Arabidopsis thaliana: one gene and its partners. The protein of the gene in region 4 interacts with the protein of the main gene of each other region in a pairwise test. Each region holds a gene or a part of one and is shown on either strand. Other genes may lie near its edges.

Region 1 (5,582 bases), on a different chromosome or scaffold from region 4:
CGGTGAAGGACCAAATTGGATCTTAATTGCTGGGGGTGCTTTGTTGAGTACATTGTCCATTCGTTTTGGCTACAAATTAAAGCAGTCTATTGACTCCAAACCTCCTCATTCCAATGCCACTGGTGGATTAAAACGTACTTATCTGGTTGTTTAGTGCTTACATGTCCTAGAATTCGCTTGTATTCTCTATCTTATTGGTAGGTTGTTTTGTTGTGCAGCTAATGGAACAACCGACAGAGGAAGATTTAAGGGCTGCTGCTTGCATTCTAATGCATCACCCTGTGAAAGGAATAATGATTGTTGCTTTCACTGCACTCCCGGTGAGAGTTTGTGAGTTTGTTATTCTTACTACTGAATTTGCTTATACATAACTTCACTTCACATAGTCTCTTACTGGGGTTTGATTTTGTGGTATCTTTGAAGTGAAAAGAGATTTTGGGAGATGTTGTCAAATAGTTGAAAGAATATGGAGATGGTTCTTACATATTTGTAGCCTCTAGTATCTTGCATAATGATCTTTGTAACCCAATCAGGAACAATATTTGACTAAAGATGTCTTTGTACCCCAATCAGGATTCATACTTAAGTAGCTACTTACGTTAATGAGCTGGAAACTATGAAGGCTGTAGTATTATCCCCCAATGATGGCTTGTGTTATGGCAGAAAAGTTTTGTGTGGGTGTTCTGAGAGTTGGCTTCTTATTTTCATTTATGCAGGAACTGAGAATGGGGAAGGAAATCATGCTACAAATGAGCAAATGGCAGAGTCCAGTACTTCTCTGCCTCTTGTGACAGTTCCTGCTTCATCATATAGCAAAGAGAGTGCAGTCGTATGGGGATCTTCTCCTGACCACCTGGAAGTGCCGATGAAAGCATACCATCAACATTCGACCTGCTCAGATTCTCCTTGCGTATCTGAATCCGGCTCAGACATCTTCAGCAAGCGAGAAGTAATACAGAAACTGAGGCAACAGCTGAAGAGACGTGACGACATGATAGTTGAAATGCAGGAACAGATTCTAGAGCTGCAAAACTCGCTAAACGCCCAGATGGGACACTCTAGCCATATCCAAACACAGCTAGACGCAACAAACAGGGACCTGTTTGAATCAGAAAGAGAAGTCCAGAGACTGAGAAAGGCAATCGCTGATCACTGCGTGGGACACACAGGTAGCAATGGTTGGAGTGGCGATGTGAACAGCGAAAACAACTACGAGTCACCAGAAAATGGAATAAGGGATGGAGAAAGAATAGAGATGTTGAGAAAAGAAGTGGGTGAGCTTAAAGAAGTGATAGATGGGAAAGAGTATCTACTTAGGAGCTATAAGGAGCAGAAAACAGAGCTTTTGCAGAAGGTAAAAGAGTTGCAGCAGAGACTGGACTCGCAGCTCCCAAACATTTTGTAGGTGAAGAAGGTTAGGCATTGTGCATTCTTACCACTCTCTTTTGTTTCCCCGAGTAAAAAATATGAATCTTTGTTCAAAAATATCTCAATTTCTCCGGGGAAACTTATCAACTGACTACATTGTTTTGGGTGTCAATTATGATTTTATCCAAATTGTTTTTTTCTCTTGGTGAAGTGGATATTCGAAAGTTGCAAACTCATACAATATCGTGTCTCAAGGCTTAAATTGTAGAATTGCAGTTGAAGTTTTTTACAAGAAAGTTGGTTACTTGTTCTTAAGGAAAGAGAAAGAAGGGTTGCTAAAATTTAATTTGGCACTTATTTCAGTCAGGTTTTGATATTCATAAGGAAGAAAATCGTTAGAGAAGGAAGGACCAAATATTTAATTTTGTAGTTGTCACATAGTGAAGAAGACAAAAGAAAAATGTATCATCACATTAGCTGGTAGTGACTTAAAATAGAAAAAAAAAAATAATCAACAGAAAGTGCAAACATTTACACATGGATAAAGATGTCAAATGTTCATTCATACTCAAATTATCTATTAAATTTCATTACTAAAAAATTGAAATCGTAAAGAAGAAAAGAAAGAAGAAAAAAACATATGAGCTGAGTTTGTTAACCACCGTGAGCGTCATCCATGGGACGTGGTTGACGCGTGCGTGATTTTATTTTAATAAATGAATTAACAGTGGAAGGAAAAAACAACAACGGAGCTGTAACTGTGAGGCGCCGTCTCTCTTCAACCTCTTCCCCTCCACTTTGCTTCTCTCTCTCCTCCCCGGGGGTTTTACAGTCATATCATCGTCGGAGACTCTGCGATTCTTCACGGAATCGTATTTCTCTCTCAGCGATTTTTTTCGATTCTCGAAGCTGCAAGGACCACCCATCAAACATTGAAACTCAAGCGGGAGAAATTTTCTGGCTCGGGAGGGAAACTATGGAGCCCTAATGCCCATTTTCTGCTGTCTATGAGGTTTTTTAAAGAGTCCTTTATACTCTCCCTGTTTTTGGGTGCTTCGCTCGCTCACTGATTTTTGATTCGTCGGAAAATCTATTTTCGAGCTCGGATTTATGTAATTCCTTATTCTCCTTCTGATTGCGATTGTTGTGTTCATTAAGGGTTGTTGGGATATCGATTAACGGCCCCTATCGAAAAAAATAAGGGTTGTTATTATTTTCATTTCGCTTCATGTTCAAGGCAAGTATCTATCTCTTCTTCTTGCTTTTGTAGTTTTAGAATCTAAATCCCATGGCATCAACGTTTCGATTACTCTTTCAGGGAACTCCATTTTTCTTGCATTTGCTTTTTTTGAGGTAGAGTCTGTGCTCCTATATGATTCCATGGATTCGTCGTATACTTTCTCAACTGAGAATGTTTGACTTAGAGAATCTTCCATTTTTTTTTTTGTCTTTCTCTTTTCAGTGTTACTATCATTTTAGATCTTTTTTTTGTTTTTCCTTCTCTGGTTGACTGTGTTTGAGGTAATGCTCAAAACGTGATTCTTTGTGCTCATTATCTTTTCATATTCTAGTTTCTGGAATCTTTCTGGGTATTAAGCATTTGATGATTTTAAAATTGTATATTTGTTGATTTTATTGAGTTGACACCAGGTTTCTTGTTGACATATGCCCAATTCATTCTGATCGTTGATGATGATTGATTCTTGTATCCGTTCAATGTAGGTTATGTTTGGATGATAGATACATTTTGACTTTCTCATACAATGAGTACACGAAGAAATGGCATTTCCAAGCATCAGCGAGGTGATAAATTTTGTGGTGAAGGGCCAAACTGGATACTAATTGCAGGGGGTGCATTGTTGAGCACATTGTCCATTCGCTTTGGATACAAGCTAAAGCAGTCGCTTGATTCGAAACCTCAATCAAATGGCTCTGCTGGATTAAAACGTACTTACTTTATCGCTGTGTTGCTTAACATGTTTTATAATTTGGTTCTAGTTTTTTTCTATCACTAAATGAAAGCCTCTTGTGCAGCTAATGGAACATCTGAGAGGCAAAAATCTACAAGCTGTTGCTTACACTCTACCACATCTTCCTGTACACAAAATAATGATTTTTGTTGCTTCCGCTCCATTCCAGGTGTGACTTTGTAACTTTCTGTTTTGCCTCATACATATTTGTTCAATCTACTAAACAAACGCTATATGCTTGTTTCTTGGTCTCGCATCATGTCTTACTGGGTTTCCTTTCATGAAGTTAAAACGATGTGTGATATATAGTAAAATCTAGTTGGGAGAATGTGTAGATGTTGTTATAGAGTTCTAGCCTCTGTTATCTTACCTCATGATGTATTTGTCAACTAGGGGAATCCAATTCGAAGTTATGGAATGAGTAAAATAGTTACAAGATTTGCCACCTTGCAATAACTGGTTGAATCGAATATCTCTTGTTTCGTTGTGGCATATTACCATTAATTTGCATCAATTGGGCTGGCAACTAGGGAAGCAGGTTTTCTCCATTGATGGCTGTGTCTAGTGGCTGAATGCTAAAAACAGTTACTAGTTTTGTTATCTACCAAGACCTCGTTAAGCATAGTTACAAGTTTTGTACTATTAGATCCAGACCTGAGTTATGTTTTCTCTTTGGAAAATCTCTGAATCCTAATATTCATGTAGTCCAGAGCAAACAGTCGTGTATGGATCTTATCAGCCTTTGCTTCTTTATTTTTATAGGAACTGAGAGTGTGGAAGGAAAAGAGGTGACAAGCGAGCAAATGATATCCGCATCTGACACTTCACTGCCTCTTGTGACAGTTCCTGCTCCATCGAGCAAAGAGAATGGAGTCATGTGGGCAACTTCTCCTGATCGCCTGGAACTTCCCCCAAGACCATACAATCACAATTCAAACTGCTCAGATTCTCCTTGCGTATCTGAAACCAGCTCAGACATTTTCAGCAAACGAGAAGTAATACAGAAACTAAGGCAGCAGCTGAAGAGACGGGATGACATGATACAGGAAATGCAAGAACAGATTCTAGAGCTGCAAAACTCGTATAACGCACAGACGGCACACTCAAGCCATCTCCAGGCACAGCTAGACACACTGAACAGAGATCTGTTTGAATCAGAAAGAGAAGTTCAAAGACTGAGAAAGGCAATTGCTGATCACAGCGTGGGATGTGGCGCGGACAGCAATGGCAAGACATCTCCGGTTGGACCTTGGAATGGCGGGTTTATGGACAGCGAAAGCAATTATGAGTCACAAGAAAAGAGCCTAAGGGATGGAGAAAGAGTAGAGATGTTGAGAAAGGAAGTGAGTGAGCTTAAAGAAGTGATAGATGGGAAAGAGTATCTACTTAGAAGCTATAAGGAGCAGAAGATTGAGCTTTCGCAGAAGGTAAAAGAGTTGCAGCAGAGACTGGACTCACAGCTCCAAAACTTATTGTAGGTGGAAAGGTTAGGCATTGTGCATACTTGCGTCTCTTATTTTTTTTTTCGGTTCTTTTTCCTTTTTCGAGAAAATGAATCTTAGTATGTACTAAGAACGGTGGAGATCAAGATTTTCAGGTTCTTTCTGGCTTTCTGCTTTCGTTTTTGAATGTCTTGATTCTGTTTTTTCTTTCAACATTTGGTGTAAAGGTAAATAGATAGTTGTTGAAGAATTTACCGCGGGAATAGCTCTCTACTTTTTTTTTTTTTTTATTCTCCGTAATTGGTAACTAACCCGATAATTACAAACGCCACGTATAAGGATGTGTTCACTAGAAGAATTAGCCAATTTTAACACAAATGATAAATAGTATAAACAAATTTTAAATTTATAAATAGACGCAACATACATTATTATTTTTAAGATACAGTTAAAATAAAATTGTTAGCAATTATGCTTATTCTGAAATTTTGGGTTTGAATATAAATAAGAAATAGAGTTTTATCCTAATAAGATTTATATAAATAAACATATAAAGTCAAAGTCATACTTTATCCTCTCAGAGGCCGTCTCTCGGGTTTTGCTGGTCTTCCTTGCTCCTCTCGCTTTTGAATGGAGATGTGAGCTTTCTTCATTCAAAGAGCAAAACTATCTAATTCCATGGCGTTCTCCCTCCTCTCTCCAATTCCTACCTCTGCCTCTCTTTTTTTCACTCTCTCCGCCATTACCGCTTCTAATAATGCTTCCTCCTCCTCTCTCTCCCGTCTTTACTCTTTATATCACC
Region 2 (4,563 bases), on a different chromosome or scaffold from region 4:
CAAACTTTTAAAGAACACCTGGATGGCACGTAAGTCATCCGCATGTTTCTGGATTGTTGCTAATTCAATTTTCTAGCTTTATAATTGATAACCACTAACAACCTTACAGGCGTTCAGGTGGTGAAAAGATAAATTCTGTGTTCGACAATCAATTCCCAGCTGCCATTAAAAGACTGCAATTCGACAAACATCTCTCCATGGACAATGTACGGAAACTGATCACTGAAGCAGATGGATATCAACCTCATCTCATAGCTCCTGAACAAGGTTATCGCCGGCTCATAGAATCATGCTTAGTCTCCATTAGAGGCCCTGCTGAAGCAGCTGTTGATGCGGTTCATTCCATTCTCAAGGATCTTATCCACAAATCCATGGGCGAAACATCTGTAAGAATATCTCTGCTCAAAGTCATAAACCCAACAACAACAATAACACTTATGAGTTTTGAAGCATGATTATGTGTTTTCATCATGACTACAGGAACTGAAGCAATATCCAACACTCAGAGTAGAAGTATCAGGTGCAGCCGTGGATTCATTGGATCGAATGAGAGACGAAAGCAGGAAAGCAACTCTGTTACTAGTGGACATGGAGTCTGGTTACTTAACGGTCGAGTTCTTCAGGAAACTCCCGCAAGATTCTGAAAAAGGTGGGAATCCGACACATTCGATATTCGACAGATACAACGATGCTTATCTCCGAAGAATCGGCTCAAATGTGTTGTCATATGTGAACATGGTCTGCGCTGGCTTGAGAAACTCCATACCGAAATCCATTGTTTACTGTCAAGTCCGTGAAGCAAAACGAAGCCTTCTAGACATCTTCTTCACCGAACTTGGCCAGAAAGAGGTAACAATAAAGATATACTAAAAAACCTATATGAGCAAATTGACAATTGTATAAGATACGAGTAAGAATGTTAAAATGGTTTGGTGTTAAAAATTATAGATGAGCAAATTGTCGAAATTGTTGGATGAGGATCCTGCGGTTCAGCAGCGAAGGACTTCGATTGCGAAGAGGCTGGAATTGTATAGAAGTGCTCAAACGGATATTGAAGCAGTTGCTTGGTCCAAGTAGAGAGACGAGACCCTCTCTTCACACTCCATTTTTTGTTTCTTTAGGATACGTTTCCTTCTACATTTTTTTGTCTCTTTTTTTTTTCCATTTGTCATTGTATTCGGTGTTCGAGTTATCATTGTTTCTGAATAAAAGTTTTTGTAAGACGATGGTTGGCGCAGTAGAATATGGTTGACCAAATTATTTTTCAAAAAATAAATAGATTTCATGGACTGAAGAAACATATGACGTGATCTCCTCTCTGTTTTAAACCACCGGAAAGAGAGAACAAAAGGAGCAAGCAAACAGAAGAAGAAGAGCAAACAGAAGAAGAAGAGCAAACTAAAATTAAAAAAATCAACAAAATTGGAGATGCGGGGAATCGAACCCCGTGCCTCTCGCATGCGAAGCGAGCGCTCTACCATATGAGCTACATCCCCATATTGGCTAACTTATTATGTTAATCCCTTTTATTATGTTAAAGTTGAATAATTTTGAATTATGATATCGATTACATAAAACGCTTAGTCGTTGACTGATACCGATCCCGCCATGCGTAATAGTAATACTGTTTAAATTGTTTTACATTACCATTTTGCAATTGCAACACAATACCTTTTTTCTCATTTGAGTTTGTGTTTTACAACGAACAAATGAAATTGTTTGTTTGTGTGATTGGTACTCATGGAAGCTGTAAAGCTGTACTCATTGGTTAATTTATTATTGTTTACTTTGTTTCCAAGTTCCCTTCCAATATCTCCTCCAAGAAAAGAAAAGATGATGTTGATCGTGGCACTATCCTGACCAAATATACCTAATGAGTAATGATTCAGACTAAGACTGATCCACTTCCCACTATGGTCCAGTTTACGACCCCACTCTCTCGCTCCCATCTCTGTCTTCTTCTTCTTTTTTTCCCTAAATAAGCAAAGTAAAAAACTCCAGATTGTCCATATCTTAAAAATCTATTCGTAATTTCTCAACCTCAAATAGCAATTGCCAATTGTTTTAACTGGCAAAGAAAAAGCAATAATTTCATAGCATCTTGGTATTTTTCTGTCGGTTCACGTGTCGATTTAGTGACAGAGGGGACATAAATTGTCCGATACTTAACCAGTGAAACATCAACTCCAAGTATCTTTCTCAAAATCCAACCGGAGCTGATTTAAAACAATTTGATGATTATGATTGATCTCCATCTCCAACCACTTTCACCACCAAACTCAATCACTCTTCTTCTTCTTCAAGTAACCATCACCCAAAAAGCTTCCATTGTTCCTCGCTCCTTCTCGTCTCTGTTTCGATTCCAACCATGAAAACTTTGGTCGGATTTTACATCCTCTGTTTCTTAATCGGACAAGATCTGCCTTTCTTAGCTGCAGATGACGTCAATGTCATAAACGATTCGACCCAGAATCTCTGTTTTGCAAACCGATTATCCGATTTCCTCCCTCCACCGTACAGCAATATCTCCGATAACATGCCCTGTACTCCTCTTTGGAACACGTTCGTCTTACGGGTAAACCGAAAAACATAAACCAACTTTTCCTAAAACCCATAATTTTGATTTTCAACGCTGCTTGCTCTGTTTTGCAGTACTCAGAAAACAGAGACAATGTGATGACGATTATAGTATCGGCTTTATACACAACCGGGTGGGTTGGGATTGGATTCTCGAAAGAAGGAAGAATGGTTGGATCAAGCGCGATGATCGGATGGATTTCGAAAAAGGGTCACGCCAAAATCAAACAATACTATCTCCAAGGAACGGAGAGAGACCAAGTTGTGCCGGATCAAGGAGAATTGCAACTACAAAAAGTCCCGCCGGTGGTGGCTCTTCACGGAGCAATGATTTACTTAGCTTTCCAGGTGAAATTCGCCGTTAGAGTTCCTCGGAGAGCTGTCATTCTAGCGTTTAGCACTGCTTATCCTTCCAAGCTAGGCCGTTTGACTAAGCATGATGATAAAACTACAGTCATCGTCGATTTTTCCAAAGGTAATATAATGTATATACTAGTCTAATCTATACATGTTAAAAACAGGGGAGAGTTCAATAGTTGTATGTTCTTGGTCAATGCAGCTAGTGGAGCAACCTCCATAAAGACGACAACTTCTACGGAGAAGACAAAACATGGAGTAATGGCGATACTCGGATGGGGTTTCTTACTTCCTGTAGGGGCAATCCTAGCAAGATATCTAAGACATAAAGACCCTCTTTGGTACTATCTTCATATCGGTTTTCAGTTCACGGGCTTTATCTTCGGTTTAGCCGCAGTTATTCTTGGGATTCAGCTTTACAATAGGATCCAGCCGGATATACCTGCGCATCGAGGCATTGGGATCTTTCTTCTAGTCCTTAGCACTCTTCAGGTTTTGGCTTTCTTTGCACGGCCACAGAAGGAGACAAAGATGAGGAGATATTGGAATTGGTATCATCATTGGATTGGGAGGATCTCTCTCTTTTTTGGAGCAGTGAACATTGTTCTTGGAATTCGAATGGCGGATAATGGAGGAGATGGATGGAAAATTGGATATGGATTTGTTCTGTCAGTCACGTTACTTGCTTTTGTTGTTCTTGAAATATTCAGGATTCGTGGCACTATCGGCTCACCATCTTCTCGCAGCCCTCCCTCTTTTGAGACACATCCAAGTTCTAGTACTAGTGTTTGATTCAAGATCTTCTGTTTTTTTTTTCTTGTACATAAAGGTACTTTTTTTGTTTTCCCCATAATCATTGGTCACTGATTTTATAGTCCATATGTGTTGTAATTTTTTTTTTTTTTTTTTGGTTCGGCAATATGATTTTCAAGTGGAAATCGGTCTTGGTTTAGACTTTAGAGCAACATGGTGATATTTGTTTTTTTAAGGTTTGTTTCTTTTTGGATCTCAATTTGTTGTCATGTAAGTTGAGTTTTGAAGGTTGTTGTTCCTGGAAAGTGAAATATACGTAATTCTTTAATTCCTTATGAGTTTGTAAATGTGCATAGACGTCCCTAGACCCTAAGGCTAACATTATGGAGCGATTAACAAAAATATGGTCCTTTTGTATGCAAATGCAATCTCTCATCTTTCATATAAATCATGAACGTATAATTGGATGATAAGTTTTGAGTCTTATTTGAAATGAAAAAAGGATCATCTTCCTCCATTGTCTGGTAATGTCAAAATGTTGTTGCATGAGAAACATACAGTGTTCATATTGGGCCTAACTCGAAGTTGTTTCTTTTATTAATTGTCAAAATGTTCCACGAGAAACATCGTAGGCCCAATATGTAGCCCAACAAGCTTCGATTTTTCTAAATAAGTTGTGTGACAAGAAGAAAAACGAGAGAGTTATTTATTGATGCGCCACGTCAGATTTGATGAAAAGGAAGATTTCGACTTGGCGCTCTCGTACGCCTGAAAATTCGCAGTCTTCCCTCGTCCCCAATCCCTGGAGCCAAACACTGTTCCATTCAACCGCCACGTCAGCATATTCGTTTTTTTTATTTTCGTTTTTATTATTTG
Region 3 (5,919 bases), on a different chromosome or scaffold from region 4:
CATTGTTATTTGTTGACTCTTTGAACTTAAGTTGTGTCCAATTGTGTCAGTCATAAATATGAACACGTGTTAAATATTATAGAGAAAGATTTGAGTTTTTACAATCTTATAATCCACTCTCCATAGTTTATATATGTACATGCACGATCAGTTTTAACTAATAATCATAAACATATATGTACATGTACAATCAATCTCATATGCAATCAAAGTAAATATAAATTAAAAAAAATGTATATATGGATCTCGTTTAGTTTAAATTCTAAACGTATATTGTCGAAGGAGAAAAACTATAATTTTGTTTGTGTATATTGATTGATTCTTCAGTAATTTCTTCAACTATTCTGATATATATATATATATATATATATATATATATCTACTTGCAATCATAGTTTAAAGATGTTATTTCTGTTAGATGTTTAATCTTGTTTTTTTCTGTCAGTAGTCTTTAATCACGTGCCAAGTAAGCAAAACACTCTCATTATTTTAAAGAATGTTGATTAAATAAACATTCGATGGGCGATGGCTATTGGAAACTGGAAAGTCAGCTAAATACAACAATTTTCCACTTAACATTCTAATTATCTAACTATTAATTATTAATCATTGCTGCATGCCTCTGTTCAACTGTACAGGCTGTTTTCGAATATTTTGTAGAGTACAACTTATCAAAAAATCCCAAACTCTTTTATCTGACAATAATATTTTAAGATATAAGAAATAGTCATAGTATCATATTTTTCAAACTATACAATTTTTATAATTTCATTAAAAGGCAAAATAAAAACCAGGTTACGTAATTAATTTAATAGTCAAATGTTTGCTACAATAATATATTTACAATTCTAGTTACATCTAAGTGTAATAAAATTACAATTCCATTATAGATAGTATAATGGATGATAAAACTTTTGTACAGTTGATAGTAAGAAAATTTAATAAAATATAGGATATTAACAAGAAAAAAAAAACAAAAAAAAAAAAACACGTTAATGGGTAAACTTCGAAACTGAAATTTTTGTAGAAAAAAACAATCACATCATCAATGTATCTTTCAAAATAATGTTTTGACAACTTATCAGTCACTTTTAATTGGGTGTGTTAGAAATAGAGGTACAGTTTAAAGTTTTTATTAGGTTTTGGGTGGTAAGGTGTGTTAGAAATCAGTTTATTTTTTAATCAGTCATTGGTGGTGGTGGAAAATATCATTTTCAAATTTCAAGTAGCAATTATGGGTGAAATTTCTTGTATAAATTTCAAGTAGCAATTAATATATCTTTTTTTATATATAGAAAATTTACATTTTGGTAAAAATTTAAATTAAAAAAAGGAGCATGGTTATATCTTGAATCTTGGTATCTACGAGCATATTATTTAGATATAACAAACAAGTTGGGAATAGACAAAACAAAATGACGAACTTTCCAACGAAAGATCCCATTATAGTAATGTTATTCTTATTTATACTTATACAATCTCTAGTGGCTTCCAAAGTACACAAAATGGGAGTATTATACCAACAAAAATAAACGACTAATGAATCAAAAAATTCAAAATTTGCTTTATTTTATTCTGAAAATCTAACGAGCTGAAACCAAAATGTTATAGATTTAAAATAGAAACAAAACACCGATGATTGACCCAATAAAAAGCAAAATAAAGTAGACCAAAAAGAATAATGGTTATGCTGATAATTGAGGAGTCGTCGTCACTCGTCACATGAGAGGAACAACAAGAAAAGTCAAAACGTTGAAGCTTTCTCGAATAACGCCTTCTTTAGTTTACAGTCTCTCGTTGCGGGTCTTATCTTCTTCTTCTTCTTCCCTCTTTCGTCTGCTCTATATTATGACCAGATTCAAAATTGCGTAGCGTACTAATTCAATATAGAGAGAAGTTAGATCAAAAGAAGAACACGAAACTCTGACTGTGTCTCTCTTTCTCTTCGTGTGTTTCTATATTTATATATAAAAAGACAAGATCTCTGGTCTGGAATTAGAAGAATCTTATTTGGGGTTTTTTCTTAGGATTAAGCTCTAATGGCAGATCAAGTAAAAGAGCGGACTTTAGAGGAGACCTCTACGTGGGCAGTTGCTGTTGTTTGCTTTGTCTTACTCTTTATTTCGATTGTCCTCGAACATTCTATTCACAAAATTGGAACCGTAAGTCTCTTTATATTTCTCCTTATTTCAAGATTCCCCTGTTTCTTGCTCTGCTTTCTGCTCTGTTTCTTTAATTACTGCTCTGTTTTTTTGGATTTGTTTAGTTCTTCTCCTATCACTATCAACACTACTAAATCTGTGAGAATAACGAAAATATCTGATCATTCCTTTTTTTGTGCCTTAAACAGTGGTTTAAAAAGAAGCACAAGCAGGCTCTTTTTGAAGCTCTTGAAAAGGTCAAAGCAGGTAACTATCTTTTTCTACTTAACTTGATCCATTATCAACAAGCTTCTTATCTTTTTCTACTTAACTTCATCCATTAACAAGCTCCTGATTTTGTTTTCTACGTAACTTCATTCAGAGCTTATGCTGTTGGGATTCATATCACTACTACTCACAATTGGACAAACACCAATCTCAAATATCTGCATCTCCCAGAAAGTTGCGTCAACAATGCACCCTTGCAGTGCTGCTGAAGAAGCTAAAAAATACGGCAAGAAAGACGCCGGAAAGAAAGATGATGGAGATGGAGATAAACCCGGTCGAAGACTTCTTCTTGAGTTAGCTGAATCTTATATCCATAGAAGAAGTTTAGCCACCAAAGGCTATGACAAATGTGCAGAGAAGGTAACTAATAATCTCCCTTCTCTCTCTATATAAAAATCATTCTCTGCTTGTTAAACCGATGGAATTTTGATTTCTATTGATGGATTTACTCAGGGGAAAGTGGCTTTTGTATCTGCTTATGGAATCCACCAGCTGCATATATTCATCTTCGTGCTCGCGGTTGTTCATGTTGTTTACTGCATTGTTACTTATGCTTTCGGAAAGATCAAGGTAACTAACATTTCTTGTGACTTACGCAGTTGTTAAGGCGAGAAAAAGAGTGTATGCAAAAGATTTTTATACTTGTTTTCTTGAGTATTGCAGATGAGGACGTGGAAGTCGTGGGAGGAAGAGACAAAGACAATAGAGTATCAGTATTCCAACGGTATGTAAATATGTGAGTATTCGACGAAACTTAAAGACCTGAATGGGAATGAATTAGTCTTGTTATGCAGATCCTGAGAGGTTCAGGTTTGCGAGGGACACATCTTTTGGGAGAAGACATCTCAATTTCTGGAGCAAGACGAGAGTCACACTATGGATTGTTTGTTTTTTTAGACAGTTCTTTGGATCTGTCACCAAAGTTGATTACTTAGCACTAAGACATGGTTTCATCATGGTATGGAATTTATTCTTTTTATCTATTGTTCATTATAACATGTATCTCTCAAAGACAATGATCTAACATTCTACATATTTCAGGCGCATTTTGCTCCCGGTAACGAATCAAGATTCGATTTCCGCAAGTATATTCAGAGATCATTAGAGAAAGACTTCAAAACCGTTGTTGAAATCAGGTTTGGATCTAATAATGATTGCTTTATAAAGTCTGAGCAAAGCCAATTTGGATATTTTATCTTAAATCTCTGCCAACTTTATGCAGTCCGGTTATCTGGTTTGTCGCTGTGCTATTCCTCTTGACCAATTCATATGGTAACGTTCATTGCTTACTCGCAAAAACTACATTTTAGCTGCATCAATAGTCGCACAAAAGTGACATCGGTTTTCTTTTGAAACAGGATTACGTTCTTACCTCTGGTTACCATTCATTCCACTAGTCGTAAGTACAAACAAACTCTTGAACCGATTTTGTCTTTTTGCCGCCAGTTTTGTAACAGAGTGAAAATATATAACTGCAGGTAATTCTAATAGTTGGAACAAAGCTTGAAGTCATAATAACAAAATTGGGTCTAAGAATCCAAGAGAAAGGTGATGTGGTGAGAGGCGCCCCAGTGGTTCAGCCTGGTGATGACCTCTTCTGGTTTGGCAAGCCACGCTTCATTCTTTTCCTTATTCACTTGGTCCTTTTTACGGTACAATACTTGTATCCTTCACCGCTCGTTTTTTCGATCTTTTTCGGGTTTTTTCTCCTAACGGTAGAATAAATTTTCTTATCTTTGCAGAATGCATTTCAACTTGCATTCTTTGCCTGGAGTACGGTAAGCGAGCCATTTCATTTTCTTTGAAAACATCGCTGTTACGGGCTATACTAATTGTTATGTCATAAATTTTCTGTATTTGCAGTATGAATTCAATCTCAATAATTGTTTCCATGAAAGCACTGCAGATGTGGTCATTAGACTTGTAGTTGGGTAAGCTAACATTATCTTGACTATTGATTCTTCTGAGAATTTGTCCTTTAACTGAAAAAGTATAATCCCCCTTTTTATAAATCTTGCAGAGCTGTTGTGCAGATACTTTGCAGCTATGTGACTCTTCCACTCTATGCACTTGTTACTCAGGTACTAGAAAACATTAGTGTTACATGGATGCCAGATTTTGGTTATATGATCTTTAGTTTTTTTTACATTGTGTTGAATGAAAATTGTGTGCAGATGGGTAGTAAAATGAAGCCAACAGTATTCAACGATAGAGTAGCCACGGCATTAAAGAAGTGGCATCACACTGCAAAGAACGAGACGAAACACGGAAGACACTCGGGATCCAACACACCTTTCTCTAGCCGTCCAACCACACCAACACATGGCTCATCTCCAATCCATCTCCTTCACAATTTCAATAACCGGAGCGTTGAAAATTACCCAAGTTCTCCTTCTCCTAGATACTCTGGTCATGGTCATCATGAACACCAATTTTGGGATCCTGAGTCTCAACACCAAGAAGCTGAAACTTCCACACATCATTCTCTTGCGCATGAAAGCTCAGAACCTGTTCTTGCATCTGTGGAACTTCCTCCTATAAGGACTAGCAAAAGCTTAAGAGATTTTTCTTTTAAGAAATGATGATTCTTGTTTGCTATATTTGATTTCGTACAGTGGGAAATTTGTCATATGAAAATAATTTCTTGTACATTACTAGTTGGATAAGAAATAACCATATCTATATGGATACATGATATGTTATTCTCTGGCAATGCTTAAGAGTTTCACGAATTACACATACATTTGTATTTCTGCAGGTTTTAACGTCCTGAGACATCAGTGATGGTGACATTGTTGATAGAGGCTTTAAGAGCAATGCTCTCAGAGAACTCAGCTTCTAAACCAACGTTTCTAGGCATAAAAGCAGGCTGTTTCGGTTCTGGAATGTCTGCAACCTCACTGCTAAGCATCATACACACTGTAGAAACACTTGGCCTATCATTAGCAGCGTCTTGCACACACAAAAGCGCAATGTGAACGCATTTTCGTATTTCTTTCTCAAAAAGTTGGTCAAAAATCTCAGGATCTACCATACCATTAATCTCCCCTTCGTTCCAGATTGACCACACCTATGAAACATAGAAGCTTTGATGGCTTGATGACAATCTCAAGAGAGTTAAGAAACTTTACGAGTTAAAGTAGACTCACATGAGCCAAAAGAGTTGAATGTGAGTTTCTTCTTCCACTGATAATCTCTAAGAGTATCACTCCTAAGCTGAAAACATCAGATTTCTCTGAAAACAGTCCTCCCATTGCATATTCAGGTGCCATATAGCCACTGCACGATACATTTATTTTCTCGGTTTTAGGACTCTTAATGGAAAAAAAAGATGTAAACATATGGTTGAATGGAGTTACATACTATGTTCCAACGACCCTTCTGGTGTTTGCTTCATCTTCATTCCCCGGGAATATCCTGGCCAACCCAAAATCAGATATTTTCGGAATCAGATTCTCATCTAGCAAGATGTTGCTTGCTTTCAGATCTC
Region 4 (7,223 bases):
TCTTTATTATTAAATGGTGCCTTTCTCTTTCTGTAGGCCCGGTCTACAAGATACTTTTCAAGTTCCGTCAAATTGGAATTCCACCAGGCTTTGATGTTAATCACTTAGGTAAAAAAAATTGCAGCCAATTTGTTTTCTTGTTTACCAGGCTTTGATTTTTTTACCAGGCTTTGATTTTAATGTCATCACAGCCACCGTGCCAATTTCATCGTGACTTCTTCTAATATGTCCTATGGTAATGTTGTGATCAGGTTGCGTGGGTGGCTGTGATGACATTCTTAAACAGTTGATAGACATCTGTGGAACTGGATCCCGTTCTCAAGGTTAGTGCTTTGTTGTTACGCAATACATATACCTTTGTATTAGACATCATACAATCTTTCTTTCATCATCTTCTGTCCTAAATGAGAATGCAAGAACTTTAGTATAGTGTCTTGCGAATAGAGAACATTTAGGCTAAAAAGAATCAATGATTTGTTCTTGCAGCAAGGAGAACTCCAGGTACTGCACCGTCAAACAATATCCAAGGAAGCAACACAAGACAGAGTAATGTCTGCATACATTGTCAGCAACGAGGACATGCTTCCACGAATTGTCCCTCACGGGTTCCAGCATCTCGAAATTCTCGTCCTACTGCAACAAATCCGAGAAACGGTACTGATCCTTGTATAATAGTTTAGCAAACAAAGATCATCGATTAGCTTTTGCTAGTATGTACTATATACTAGTCAAAATTCAAGCAAATTGTCCAGACCAAGTCTTCCTTATTGACATGTAATTTATATTCTAGTATTGTTGGTTATAATGCAGATGAAAGTACAGTATCATGTAACACTTGTGGATCACAATGTGTTCTTCGTACAGCCAACACAGAAGCTAACAGGGGAAGACAATTCTTCTCATGTCCAACACAAGGCTGCAGTTTCTTTGCGTAAGAGTCTGGTTTTACCCCAATTTCTTCGCATAATCCATTTTTTTTTCCTTTTACATCACTCAACACATCAGTTTTTTGTTTGCACTGCTTGTAAACAGATGGGAAGATAGCATAAACAACAGTAGTGGGAATGCAACAACAGGGTCTAATAGCGGCGGGAGCGGTAGACGTGGCAGCCGTGGTCGTGGCCGTGGAGGTAGAGGCGGCCAAAGCAGTGGAGGACGACGCGGCTCTGGAACAAGCTTTGTCTCTGCAACTGGAGAGCCAGTGAGTGGTATAAGGTGCTTCTCATGTGGCGATCCTTCACATTTTGCTAACGCTTGTCCTAATCGTAATAACTCTAACGGTAACTATTTCTAAGTCTACTTACTACGAACTTTGACTATGTATGTAGCATGATTAATTAGTGCTACTAACTTAATTTGGGTTTTTGTATTTTATTTTATTTTATTTTATGACCACTTTTTCTCTGGAATTCATCCTAATTTGCGTAGATCACTGTTAGCTGGATATTTTAAATATAATATTTCACGTGCTATTCTGAATCACTGAATAGTTTCCACCTATTTTATTTATAAATCTTGAATAGTCGTTTTTAATTTTTAGTTATGTTCTTAGTGAGCTAATGTGGATCCATATTTCATCATTTTTTTTGTATTGTCTCATAATTCATAATTCATACATCAACTATATCACTATGTATATGCCATTGATCTTGAGTCTAGACATGGTCAAGTAATAGATATTAACAAAATGCTTAAGCTACAAAGTTTAGTCCTCCGAATTTGTTTTTAGAGATGGTCAAGTAATAGATATTAACAACTGTTAATAACACAAACCACAGTCGTTTTGCTCTGTAAGAAAACGACACAACAACCGGAATAAACGCCGTTTTGTTGTTTAAAAACGGCACACCAATTTTCAGTCCATTTTGAACATAAAAGATTTAAAATTCTCAAATCGAAATTGAGATAACAGAGGATCCGGCGAGCTTCTCCGGCGTAGGATTCGGGTCATTTTCTTCGGCAACTATGAAAGGGAAAAAAAGAGAGAGAGAGGTGATTACTGATTAGGCCGTCTCCTGTGGAACAAGAACGCGTTTCTTCTTACATTCCTCATCGAAGGAGTTGTTGTAGCCACTTGAGGTACTTTTCATACTAATCTTGGAATTTGTATAGCTTGGTTCGGTATATTGAACAGTCAATTAGGTATCTTGCTGTGAATGATCAAGTGGGTACTTATCATTGCCTCTTCTTAGTAGTCTCATTACAAGACTGAAGTTTGGTCTCAAAATTGACAAGCTTCTCGAAGCATTTGTCCTTGGACTATAACTTATAGTCGAGCTTGTTGTCCCTTCTCCAGTTGTTATCTTGGTTGTCGTCTGTATATAGAAGATTAAAACAACTGTTTTGCTTGGAGTATAATTGATACTTTACAATAGAATAATAATGCACGAAATTGAGGTCGTGAGAGAATGAGGAAAGCCAAGTTCTCATGCCATGTCGGCCATCTCTATCTTGTTGATTTGAGTACTTAGAGTCTATTATAGCTTCAAAGTTACAAAAAGGACCATCATTTTTAAGCCTTGTAGTTCTCACTTTGACTAATTCATGGCTTACTTTATTTGTTGCTTCAAAGACAAAACGAATATTGAGTTTCTTTTTTACTTGAAATAAACAAAAGCAAAGCTGATAGGCTTCTGAAACTAATATTAAAAGACAGGCCAGTACTAATAGAAGACTTTTTTAATGAACAAATTTCAAACTTCAAAGCTTTCAATGATCAAAAAACTAATCATAGCTTGACCATTTCCTTTTTATATTGTTTTCCTGGAAAGAAGAAAAAAAGGTCTGCACCTCTTCTATTCTCTCTTTTTCCTTTCCTGAAACCAGTTTCAAAGGTTGTTTTCTTGCCTAGAATTTTCATAGCTATGTGTCTTGGATCCAGATCCATAGTTTAGTAGGGCCTGTATTCTTCTTTCAAATATGCTTGTTATGCTACATGATTTGAGTTTTTTTGGATGGTTTTATGGTATGTAGTCTTTAAGAGATGTACAAAGTGAGGTTTTTGCAGACATGATTACATCTTGTTTGATGTCTTCTAATGAAGATTTAAGGGCTTCTGTGTATGCATGAATGGTAAAGGAAATGATGAAGCTTGCTGTTTTTTTCATATCTCTTCTTCTTATCCTTCTGATCTCTGAGACAACAGGGTTGAACTTAGAAGGTCAATATCTTCTTGAAATCAAGAGCAAGTTTGTGGATGCTAAGCAGAATTTGAGAAACTGGAATTCAAATGATTCTGTACCTTGTGGATGGACTGGCGTGATGTGCAGCAACTATTCGAGTGATCCAGAGGTTTTGTCCTTGAATCTGTCTTCGATGGTTCTCTCGGGTAAGCTATCACCAAGCATAGGTGGATTGGTTCATCTGAAGCAGCTGGATCTGTCATATAATGGGTTGTCAGGGAAAATTCCTAAGGAAATTGGCAACTGTTCAAGCTTGGAGATTCTGAAACTAAACAATAACCAGTTTGATGGTGAGATACCTGTGGAAATAGGTAAGCTTGTGTCTTTGGAGAATCTGATCATATACAACAACAGAATCTCAGGGTCTCTCCCTGTGGAGATTGGGAACCTTTTGTCTCTCTCTCAACTGGTGACTTACAGTAACAACATCAGTGGACAATTGCCCCGTTCCATCGGCAACCTCAAGAGACTGACAAGCTTCCGAGCCGGTCAGAACATGATCTCTGGAAGTTTGCCTTCTGAGATTGGTGGATGTGAGAGCTTGGTCATGCTTGGTCTTGCACAGAACCAGTTGAGTGGTGAATTACCAAAAGAGATTGGAATGCTCAAGAAACTTTCACAGGTGATTCTTTGGGAAAATGAGTTCTCAGGGTTTATCCCCAGGGAGATTAGCAACTGCACAAGTTTAGAAACCCTTGCTCTCTACAAGAACCAGCTTGTCGGGCCAATCCCGAAAGAGCTCGGGGACCTTCAGTCGCTGGAGTTTCTCTACCTTTACAGAAACGGGTTGAATGGAACGATTCCAAGAGAGATTGGGAATCTCTCATATGCAATTGAGATAGATTTCTCGGAAAACGCTTTGACCGGAGAGATACCTTTGGAGTTAGGGAACATAGAGGGGCTTGAGCTTCTTTATCTTTTTGAGAACCAACTCACAGGTACCATCCCTGTGGAGCTTTCTACTTTGAAGAATCTATCAAAGCTTGATCTCTCCATCAATGCTTTAACGGGTCCTATTCCCCTGGGATTTCAGTATCTAAGAGGACTCTTCATGCTGCAGCTGTTTCAGAACTCCCTTAGCGGGACCATACCTCCAAAACTTGGCTGGTATAGCGATCTCTGGGTTCTTGATATGTCCGATAACCATCTCAGTGGAAGAATTCCAAGCTACCTCTGCCTTCACTCCAATATGATCATCTTGAACTTGGGTACAAACAACCTCTCTGGCAACATTCCTACTGGAATCACCACTTGCAAAACTCTGGTCCAACTTCGTCTAGCCAGAAACAACCTCGTTGGTCGGTTCCCATCCAACCTGTGTAAACAGGTTAATGTCACAGCCATCGAGTTGGGACAGAACAGATTCCGTGGTTCCATCCCTAGGGAGGTCGGGAACTGCAGTGCCCTACAAAGGCTGCAGCTAGCAGACAATGGCTTCACGGGGGAGCTACCTAGAGAGATTGGCATGCTTTCACAGCTTGGGACCTTGAATATCTCATCCAATAAGCTTACTGGAGAGGTCCCTTCTGAAATCTTCAACTGCAAGATGCTTCAGCGACTAGACATGTGTTGCAACAATTTCTCTGGAACCTTACCAAGTGAGGTAGGTTCCCTCTACCAGCTTGAGCTTCTGAAGCTCTCAAACAATAATCTTTCGGGTACAATACCTGTGGCTCTAGGGAACTTATCTCGCTTGACCGAACTACAAATGGGTGGAAACTTGTTCAACGGTAGCATTCCACGGGAGTTGGGCAGTCTGACGGGTTTGCAAATAGCATTGAACCTCAGTTATAACAAGCTTACCGGAGAAATACCACCTGAGCTCAGTAATCTTGTTATGCTTGAGTTCCTGCTCCTCAACAACAACAATTTGTCTGGGGAAATACCAAGCTCTTTTGCTAATCTCTCCAGCTTGCTTGGTTACAACTTCTCATACAACAGCTTAACTGGTCCTATTCCACTTCTCCGTAACATATCCATGTCTAGCTTCATCGGTAATGAAGGGCTTTGCGGCCCGCCGCTCAACCAGTGTATCCAAACACAGCCTTTCGCGCCTTCTCAGTCAACCGGGAAGCCCGGAGGAATGCGTTCGAGTAAAATCATAGCCATTACTGCAGCTGTGATTGGCGGGGTCTCTCTCATGCTGATTGCTCTCATTGTCTACCTCATGAGACGCCCAGTGAGAACAGTCGCTTCTTCTGCTCAAGATGGCCAACCATCGGAAATGTCTTTGGACATATACTTCCCTCCAAAGGAAGGATTCACGTTCCAAGATTTAGTTGCAGCCACTGATAATTTCGACGAGAGCTTTGTAGTTGGGAGAGGAGCTTGTGGAACCGTCTACAAAGCGGTTCTTCCAGCCGGGTACACTCTAGCTGTCAAGAAGCTGGCATCAAACCATGAAGGCGGCAACAACAACAATGTGGATAATAGCTTTAGAGCAGAGATTCTAACTCTTGGGAATATCAGGCACCGTAACATCGTCAAGCTACATGGATTCTGCAATCACCAAGGATCAAATCTGCTTCTGTATGAGTACATGCCCAAGGGAAGCCTTGGAGAAATACTTCATGATCCTTCATGCAACTTGGATTGGTCTAAGAGATTTAAAATCGCTTTAGGTGCGGCTCAGGGTCTCGCCTATTTGCACCATGATTGCAAGCCGAGAATCTTCCACCGGGACATAAAATCAAACAATATACTGCTTGACGACAAGTTTGAAGCTCATGTGGGAGATTTTGGACTAGCAAAAGTGATTGACATGCCACATTCTAAATCCATGTCTGCTATTGCTGGCTCCTATGGCTACATTGCCCCAGGTAAAGTTTTTGCTTTTGTTTGTGCAATTAAGTATCCAATGAGGGAACTGAAATTAAACTGTTTTAACAACTTTGCAGAATATGCATACACCATGAAAGTGACAGAGAAGTCTGACATCTATAGCTACGGGGTGGTTCTACTGGAGCTGCTAACCGGAAAAGCCCCGGTTCAGCCAATAGATCAAGGAGGAGATGTGGTGAATTGGGTGAGGAGTTACATAAGAAGAGATGCATTGTCCTCAGGAGTTCTTGATGCTCGGTTAACGCTAGAAGACGAGAGAATTGTCTCTCATATGCTCACTGTGTTAAAGATTGCACTTCTTTGCACAAGTGTGTCTCCAGTCGCGAGGCCATCGATGCGACAAGTTGTTCTCATGCTTATTGAGTCTGAGAGATCGGAAGGAGAACAAGAACATTTGGATACAGAAGAATTGACACAAACAACTACCCCATGACACAATACACATTCTTGTTGTATCTTCTTCTTTTTTCACACGAGATTATTCTTCTATGTAACCATGGCGAATAATTATTGTAAAGTCTATACGCACGCAGCTATATCAAAAGATATAAGCAGTATCTATATCTACAAGTTACCGTTAGGTTTAATTAATTAGTGTTAATCCAATCATTATCCATGGGACCCAAACGGTAATTACCGTTGTCTTTTTAGTATGAACAGGTAAATAGTAGTACTCTCTAACATTGGATATTGTTTTTGGTCATTGGATCATTTAATAGATCATAATTTAATACTATGGAAGTATCCATGTTATAATCAACTTGATTTTTCATAGTGATTAGGTCTATAAATTATTGTTAATTTAATGAAGACACCAATAATAATACGGTCACTTTTGCTCTGGAAATCATAATTAGCGTAGATCACGGTTAGCTGGATTTGTTATAAATATAATATTTCACGTGCTATTCTGAATCGTGCCCACCAGATTATATATCTAATCTCTTCTAGTTTTTAATTTTAGCTATGTGGTAGTGAGTTAATGTGGATCTGTTTTTCTCAATATTAATTTTGTTAAATAATTAGTCCTCTTAGTCTTCACTTCTCTAGGGATATGATTTTAAATCAAACGAAAAGATTCGAGTCATACTAAGACTTATTCGTACGCCATGAAAGTTTGAAAGGTCTTTTTTTCCTTTTCTTCAAACTGAAAATTCAAAATAAAGGATAGGATATGAATAATCGAGAAGTTCATCTTTA

Evidence for each region.
Region 1: the proteins of AT5G63930 (region 4) and AT4G27610 interact in a protein complementation assay, tested with the Arabidopsis thaliana proteins (one large-scale study listed by BioGRID).
Region 2: the proteins of AT5G63930 (region 4) and AT3G61750 interact in a protein complementation assay, tested with the Arabidopsis thaliana proteins (one large-scale study listed by BioGRID).
Region 3: the proteins of AT5G63930 (region 4) and MLO2 interact in a protein complementation assay, tested with the Arabidopsis thaliana proteins (one large-scale study listed by BioGRID).

What each region holds. Positions count from the first base shown.
Region 1 is NC_003075.7:13,784,882-13,790,463, reverse strand, and holds AT4G27610 (intracellular protein transporter), read left to right. Parts: upstream 1-1,948; 5' UTR 1,949-2,380; exon of another isoform or gene 2,381-3,090; 5' UTR 3,091-3,131; coding exon 3,132-3,315; intron 3,316-3,402; coding exon 3,403-3,507; intron 3,508-4,100; coding exon 4,101-4,816; 3' UTR 4,817-5,051; downstream 5,052-5,582. Other genes in the region: AT4G27620 (intracellular protein transporter), read left to right, coding at 1-134, 219-320, 717-1,405; NARA5 (pfkB-like carbohydrate kinase family protein), read left to right, coding at 5,459-5,582.
Region 2 is NC_003074.8:22,857,060-22,861,622, reverse strand, and holds AT3G61750 (Cytochrome b561/ferric reductase transmembrane with DOMON related domain-containing protein), read left to right. Parts: upstream 1-1,953; 5' UTR 1,954-2,368; coding exon 2,369-2,575; exon of another isoform or gene 2,576-2,652; coding exon 2,653-3,052; intron 3,053-3,136; coding exon 3,137-3,726; 3' UTR 3,727-4,046; downstream 4,047-4,563. Other genes in the region: DL1B (DYNAMIN-like 1B), read left to right, coding at 1-29, 110-386, 481-849, 949-1,077. UniProt on the Arabidopsis thaliana protein: May act as a catecholamine-responsive trans-membrane electron transporter.
Region 3 is NC_003070.9:3,799,991-3,805,909, reverse strand, and holds MLO2 (Seven transmembrane MLO family protein), read left to right. Parts: upstream 1-1,676; 5' UTR 1,677-2,039; coding exon 2,040-2,162; intron 2,163-2,214; exon of another isoform or gene 2,215-2,350; coding exon 2,351-2,408; intron 2,409-2,523; coding exon 2,524-2,789; intron 2,790-2,882; coding exon 2,883-2,999; intron 3,000-3,092; coding exon 3,093-3,153; intron 3,154-3,223; coding exon 3,224-3,387; intron 3,388-3,470; coding exon 3,471-3,565; intron 3,566-3,651; coding exon 3,652-3,701; intron 3,702-3,787; coding exon 3,788-3,828; intron 3,829-3,907; coding exon 3,908-4,081; intron 4,082-4,171; coding exon 4,172-4,207; intron 4,208-4,292; coding exon 4,293-4,360; coding exon of another isoform or gene 4,361-4,364; exon of another isoform or gene 4,365-4,449; coding exon 4,450-4,510; intron 4,511-4,603; coding exon 4,604-5,011; 3' UTR 5,012-5,190; downstream 5,191-5,919. Other genes in the region: AT1G11303 (G-type lectin S-receptor-like Serine/Threonine-kinase), read right to left, coding at 5,191-5,499, 5,579-5,708, 5,793-5,919.
Region 4 is NC_003076.8:25,579,937-25,587,159, forward strand, and holds AT5G63930 (Leucine-rich repeat protein kinase family protein), read left to right. Parts: upstream 1-1,759; 5' UTR 1,760-3,069; coding exon 3,070-6,001; intron 6,002-6,079; coding exon 6,080-6,456; 3' UTR 6,457-6,684; downstream 6,685-7,223. Other genes in the region: TOP3A (topoisomerase 3alpha), read left to right, coding at 37-108, 252-323, 487-654, 811-931, 1,033-1,294.